2 linked regions of the Schizosaccharomyces pombe genome follow. The protein of the gene in region 2 purifies or fractionates together with the protein of the main gene of each other region. This does not show direct contact. Each region holds a gene or a part of one and is shown on either strand. Other genes may lie near its edges.

Evidence for each region. Proteins that work in one complex are often made in the same cells at the same time.
Region 1: the proteins of tts1 (region 2) and rtn1 purify together in Schizosaccharomyces pombe (co-purification; one study listed by BioGRID). This does not show direct contact.

What each region holds. Positions count from the first base shown.
Region 1 is NC_003423.3:1,261,709-1,265,548, forward strand, and holds rtn1 (reticulon Rtn1), read right to left. Parts: upstream 1,897-3,840; coding exon 970-1,896; 3' UTR 590-969; downstream 1-589. Other genes in the region: protein dbl7, read right to left, coding at 1-132. UniProt on the Schizosaccharomyces pombe protein: Required for the correct positioning of the cellular division plane by delimiting the actomyosin ring assembly at the cell equator. Overexpression causes cell lysis.
Region 2 is NC_003423.3:4,366,771-4,370,368, forward strand, and holds tts1 (tetra-spanning protein 1), read left to right. Parts: upstream 1-1,571; 5' UTR 1,572-1,618; coding exon 1,619-1,678; intron 1,679-1,777; exon of another isoform or gene 1,778-1,864; coding exon 1,865-2,644; 3' UTR 2,645-3,046; downstream 3,047-3,598. Other genes in the region: COG complex subunit Cog3, read left to right, coding at 3,230-3,298, 3,341-3,598. UniProt on the Schizosaccharomyces pombe protein: Required for the correct positioning of the cellular division plane by delimiting the actomyosin ring assembly at the cell equator.

The sequences.
Region 1 (3,840 bases), 3.1 Mb from region 2:
CAGCGCCATTCTATGAAGTTTCTCCTTTTTCGCGGAATTAAATCCAAAAGCTTTGCTACCTGCTGAAGCTGAGGTAGCTTCATTTTGAGATGCGCTTTTTCGAGGATTGTATTTGACTTTCTTGGAACTCATGTATAATAGCGTTGCGGCATGATAAATTGACAATAAATTGAATTTCAATAATCCTAATATATGGATACAAAGGAAATTTTGAGCTTAAACGTAAAAAGCTGGCACAACATTGATATAAGTGAATGACTTGTGGTGAGAGCAGACAACGATCATGCGAGTGTAATCAGCACTTTACTGTATGATCGGCTGTATTAAATACGAAGTAGTGGAAAAAAAATAATAATTTTTGGTTAACAAATACTTTAGTCATTTGGTTAAACAAAATAGATTTTTTCGTCCACAGACCCATTTTAGTTATGGAAAATATATATATATATTTTTTTTTTCGAAAAGAGCAGCAATAAGGAATACGAGGAGGACCTACAAAACAACACGGAGTAATTACGAGATTAAATTACGAATAATAAGTACGTTGGGTATTAAACGAAGCAGAGAAAATATAATAAAATAGCATCATATTGAGCAAAGCAACAAGAACTTCAACCACACTGCAATAGTTTGCAACTCAGAAGAGAAATGAGAGATTGAGCCGAACCTGTTACATTTACAATATATCGAGATGAGAAAGACGTATTTATGAAAATAAACACTCATAGTCATAAGCAAAATAATTGAGAAAACGCATTCAATCTCCTAATTCAAGTCATAATACAACACTTTTGAAACGCAACACAACACAGCAACACATTTTCAAAGTTGAAAACAAAACCATGGTTATTACCCTTGCATTTTTTTGCAAAAGATACTATTGAAACCTTAAAATAAACGAGGAAGCGAACCAAATAAAAATCAAGCGCAACCTGACAGAAACAATCAAACAAATTATCCCGCAGAGGTTTACTTGTTAACAGTGGTGTTTATAGTCTCAGTAGCTTGCTTTTTAAGTTTATCACCAGATCTCTCAAGGGAAGCAACCAAATGCTTGATAGAGCGCTCATTGCATACATACAATCTGGGAAGGATGAAGGCAAACAAAACATTCCAAACAAAGAGAGACTTGTAGGAAAGGAAGCCACTAAGGAAAAACTCAATAAAAGCAGCAACAGAGGCAGTAAAGGTCAAAATAGGGCTCTCAGCAAACAAGATACGTTGGAATTGAATCAACATAACGTTGAAAATGTCGACAATTGAGTTGACAATCCTATCAAGAGCCTTGGAGTCGCAGGTGATGTAGGAGGAACGGAAGTGAGACAAGACACCACGCTTACCGTTGGAAGCGAAAAGACCACCGAATTCAATGATGGAGGTAATCAAAAAGACATAACGGAAAGTTCTGAAAAAGAGGCGAGGAAGATTGATCCAAGAAGGGACATAAACGAGAGCAAGAATACTCATCAAGGTAGAGAAACTGCAAGAGGTGTTCTTCCAAGTCAACACAGACCACAAAGCATTAGAGATCTCAGGATCGACGTTTTGCTTAGTAGTGTTGGTAAAAGGGCAACCGGCCTCCAAAGCAGGGCATTTTTTGTCGGCACCTCCGTGAGCGCCGGAAACTGGGCAGACGGGACTGCTTGTCTCGCCAGGTGTGGATTGAGAGGTGTGGTGGGGCTCGGAAGAGGAAGAAGAGATGTTTTGAATAACGGGATTCTCAGAGTTGGGGAGAGCAGAGGGAAATGAAGTGGCAGAGGGCAATTCGGTGGAAGGGTGAACGGTGTGAGCAGTCAAAGTATTTACAAGGTCCTCAGCACCGGATTTAGCAGCGGCGACATCGGAAGCAGTGACGGAACCGGATTCAAAGGGGTTTAATGAATGTTGTTCAGACATGATTTGCGTGTTATATTCAATTTTAAAATAACAACTTAAGGTAAAACAGTTACTAAGAATCAAAAGAAGCCTTAAAAAAAAAGAGAAACCTTTTAAACTAAAAAAGGGTGCAAGTGTTTTTTTTTTAAGATATAGTAAAAAATAGAGAAAATTTAAAGAAAACTAATTCTGAAAAGTGCCGACTAAAGAAAATAGCTAGTAAAGGACGACTTTTCGGAAGAGCGAAATACTTTGTAACAAAGACTTAAAAAAGTGAATAAAAGATTTTTGGATTTTGCTGTAGGATAAATAAAATGTATATGTATTAAATCCAAAGCCAAGTTCCAAAAGGGTTAACTTTTAAGGGAGATATTGATCGAAAGAAAAAATAAAAGTAGAATGGGTAAATACAAAAAGAGACCTTCACGAGTTGTTGAGAGGAAAGTCAATATGTTTCACTTACGAAACTGTTAGAAAGTTGTTAGTTGGAAAGCTTTGCTTTTATATGGTAAAAGTCAAGTCGGTGGTTGGTGGTTAGATAGCAGTCATAGCGTTGATCATGGAATGACGTTGTTCTTGGCTCAATAAGTCTGTGTCAGCGGCGACTATAGCGATCATGCTTATAATCGGTTTACAGCAGGCTAATGAAAGAGAATTTTGGATGGTAAAAGAAAAACGAAGAATAGGAAGAAGATGGGCGGGAAAAGATGGGTTAAATGGTATGAAAAGATGGGTGAAATGGTATGAAAAAGAAGGAAATGAATAGAGAAACAATGAAAATGGATGAAAAACGAAAGAACGAGCGAAAACGGATGACTTTTGCAAAAGCTAGAGATATTGAAAAAAGAGTAAATAAAGGGAAAACAATGATTAAGTGCAGGAAAGGCTACAAGAGGCGAAAAAAAAGTGAGAAATAGATAAATAAATTCGTGTAGGATAGTTTGTTGAAAGGAGAGCGAAGTATGGAGTTTGATTGTAAAATGTAAAGGAGAAAGGGATAAGAGTGATGAAAAGGAAAAGGATACAACTGAATAAAGAAAGGATTAAAGATTGAAAAAGGAAAGGAATAGTAACGGTGAGAAATGATGAATCATCCACAAGTGAGTAAAACACGAAGAAATTTGTTGTTTAAAAAATTATTTAATATTTGAGGAATTGAAATCAATTAAAACTTTGAAGAAACAAAATTCATTCAAACTTCTGAAGCCTTTTTTTTTTTTTTTTTTTTTTTTGGAAATTTTTTTGACAAAAAATTTATTTCTTAAGAATCAAAGCAAATGTATTTCAAAAAAAAATATATATATATATATGATGAAATAAATAAGACCATACCTTTTCTACATTTAGTAATTGATTTATTTCAGTTTACGTTAATTAATTTAATGTAATTTTATTTCGAATTTTTTATTTTTTTTATTTTTTCACGAATTGAATTGAATTGAATAGATTTTCTTTTTATAATTTAATTTTTTTTGTACAAATCAGTTTGTATTGAAATTCTTCATCATCTCATTATGCGTTGTGTGTCTGTTTATTTACACCCACTTAAAAATTGCAAGCATACCGTATGATGAACAAGAAGGCTTTTCTTGCCTTTTCGTGAAAAGGGAGGGAGAAAGAGAAAACGTATTTAATAAATTGGACATCTCATCGTATGCTAGTATATGAAATTATGAATTGAAATGAAATGTATGGAATTGCATTGCGCTGGACTGAATTGCATAGAAGTGGACTGCATTGCATAGAAGTGAATTACATTGTACTGAAAGAATTGTGTTGTATCGTATTCAAAGTAATGATGTATCATCCTTTCCTCTTTCCTCTCTACTCTACTCTACTGAAACGGTCGGGTTCTTCTCTCCTTTAGCAAATCCTTTACTGCACTCTGCTGTACGGTCTTGTTCCACAGTATGATGTTTAATGAATTGTTGGACAAATCTCGTTACCATCACCAGCATGAGCTGG
Region 2 (3,598 bases):
GAATTGTTAAAACAGAGTCAGTTTTTCAAGTTTTCAACCAACGCAAAAAGGAGGTAGTACTACTTAAAATTTAATTTATCTAATCTTTTGAGAGTATGGCTATATGACCGTGTAACCTCTTCCTTATCGCAACCTATTGTTATATCACATTAACGATACGGCGATAGATATGAAATTGATATTATAATCGCTATAATAAGATCTAACGTATTGGAACGTATAAACACTTAATAAATGTTTACATTCCGCTTCGTTATTTCTTTCCTTAAGTTTACAAAAGATATCATATATGGAAGCTTTGGTTGGAATCTTACTGTATAAATGTACTCAACCTGAATGATTTGTTTTGTCTTTCTGATTTATTAACTCAGAGCTACCAAAGAATTTCGCGAGCATTAGCTTAGATTTAAGAAAATTGACTGTTATAAAGATTGAGAATTCTTAAAAGATTTTCTTGTTAGTTGTGATTGTTTTTTCGATTTTTATTAGAACGATATTTATAGATGCCTGAAAACTCATTGGTAGATAAGTATTGTTTTCTCGTTTTTACTAGTGTCTGATCAGACTAAACTGGTTTAAACATTATGATGCATCTTCCGCCCAATTTCTTTTAAGATAGCTAACGAAAATCAATTAAAATAAACATGGACCAACCGAGTTTATGAATCCACCAAATATAGTGGGATTATAAAGAAGAAGAAAATCAACGAAGAATAAAGTGATAACAGTACATGATTTTCCTTTTCCCTCTTTACTTTCGTCTCTTACTGCCTTAAATTATACACTGCATTTCAAATTGTCAACTATATTATTGATTTCTTTTGGCATGAACACATATAGGGCGTATTACTTCGACAGTCTAACATTTACTTATACCAAGCTTCTCAAAATTCGTTTATAGTACTCGTCTTCGCCAACAAATAACTTAACAATTTACGTATGGATATGTTGTTAACAGAACGTCTGGACTCAAAACGGAATCCACAAAGTGTTATCTTCGAGAATACTCTAGAGCCAGTTTAGATCTTGCTAGTTATTTTTAAATAGAAGTTATTGAAGGTTGCCGAGCAATACAAGTGTGATATAGTAATGTTGAATCTGAACCATTTATTGTCCACTAGTAAATGTGCAAGAATTAATCCATTTATTGTTTCCATGTAAAACATAGAACAGATAGCGTAACAAACAACATCGTACTTTAGCATTTCACTTTGAAAAATTTTAGTCAGAGCTTCTTGTACATTGTTATCAAGGGTCGTAAATGAATTATGTTAGCTTTCTGGAGTGTCTGCTAGACTTAAACAATTGGATTTTAGAAAACTAAAGAGTGTAGCCCCTATTTAAATCTATTTAATTGTAATAGCTTGAATGCTACTCAAAGGCGTAAATCCTTTTTTAAGCGCTTATATTCCTGCTAAAAGAATTCTAGTCAAAACGTGTACTAGCGTATTTCACAGAAGTTCCATAGGTTTTCTTTTTCTGATGTAGGAAAATTTAGGATCTTCCATTGGTAAGCGTACATTGTACTCTATCACAACTATTACAACATACTTTTTGCTGGATATTAACTTAACAAAAGCCACATCTTTAAAACTTTGAAAATAACAACTTTGCTATAATGGAGCCAAAACAACGAGTTGTCAAGCCTTTAAAAGAAAGGGTTTTACCTGTTGTCAAGGTAAATATATCTATCATGTGTAAATCAGATAATAAATGTTGATTATAAGAAAAGTTTCTTATTTAGTTCCATAACGTAACTGTAATCTATTACTAAAACATAGACTAATTTGTCAGCATTATTTTATTTTGATTCAGTGTCATATTGTCTTCACTCTTTTAATACATTACTAACCGTTTATTATAGAACACCCAGTTTGTTTGGTTTTCGGGGCAAGTAATAGTGCTAATCTCTTCCGTCTTGTATGCTCTTCAAGCAATCCCTTTTCGTTCCGCTCCTCCATTTTTGTTTAAAAGCGCTGCCTTTGGTGCCATCGTTGCATATGCAATTGTCCTTTACAAAACTTATAGTCCAAACTTGACTTCCCGTGCTTCTTGGAATAAGCATTTCTTTGCCCGTCTTATGCTCGATGACAATGTTCAGTATTTTATTTTAGCTCTTTCAATGTTGATTGATCGTCCCATCCTATTTTCTCTCGCTCCATATGCCATTTACGCCACTTTCCACATCTCCACTTACTTGCGTAGTGTGCTTTTGCCTGCCATTTACCCTAATATTTCTGACGCGAAAACTGCGTCTTATGCTTCTCGTGTTTCTAATTTGCTAAATCAGTACACTCGAAGCCAATTTCAACCTGCTATGCAACTTGTTGCTTCTCTCGAAACATTTTTATTGTTCCGTTTGTTCTTTGGGGTTTTCTTACGTAAAAACTCAATTTCCAGGTTGGTGGGCTATATTTTCTTTCTTCGCATGAGATACACTAATAGTCACTTTACTCGTGCATCCATTAAAGCCGTTAGCCTTCGAATGGATCGTTTGGTTGCAGATAACAGAGTTCCTCCTGTTATCAAAAATGCTTGGCATACATTCAAAACTTATGTGTCCAAGTTCGGTGCTTCACCTGTAGGTACTGCTCAAAGCCGTCCCACTGCATCAAGCTCTACCACTGCTCCCTCATCTACTTAAAGTGATGCCTTATTCCTTTTGATTGCTAGAGATTTATATAAATTTCACCAATCAGTGTGATTTTAATATGTCTAAGTGCTCCTGGTTTTTGAGTTCTTTACTATTAACGAGTAGTTTCTATTTCACCCAAGTAAATTTTGAATGTTCATACCGTTTACCTCTTTCTCTAAAAACTTGTTTGAGATAATTCCGTTTATTTATTTTTGCTCACTACTCCTCTATTTCAGTTATCTTTGTTTGGGGGGTCTCCTCAGACTTTAGTTTAGCTTTTTTCAAGGAAATTGAAATATGGATATATGTTGTTTATCCAAAAACTCTTTGAGTATTAAAAGATTAAGAGGTAAAAATAATACGTTTTATTGAATTTTGTAGCACAATAAACACATGTATAGCAGCGCACTCTTGAAATCTAGCAAGTTATTAGTTTACATTGGATAAAATACCAGTTTCAATTGAATTTATGTGATGTTAATGCGTTTTGTTTCTTAGCATCTGCGCAAAGTAACGTAGCGCTGTGTTATGGTTCACTGGGAAACACCAACAAAGTGCTCGATGTTTTTCTGATTATCGTAATTATTTTGAACGATGTTTGATCAGTTGGAGTTTTATCCTGCTGTCAACTATGAGGATAATGAAACTCAAAATGATATAAAAGTAAGCTTAGATAAATGTTTTTACAAGGGCTTACCCAATTAGCTACCCGAAGTCGCCAAACTTGAAAATATCGAAACAGTGCATTCCATTTCTAAGGAAAGACGCGACTCTTTAACGGAAATTTTAAATGATTCTTCAAGCTTACCGGCACGTCCGTTTTCTCTGCCTAATCCCAATAATTCAACCGTAGAAAAGCAGTCGTTATTTCCATTTGAAGAAAAGATGAACCCCATATGGATAATTTCTAGACCTACTTTCTCTATTGAGCAAGACGCGGAAAAAAAAATTAATGAACTTCAA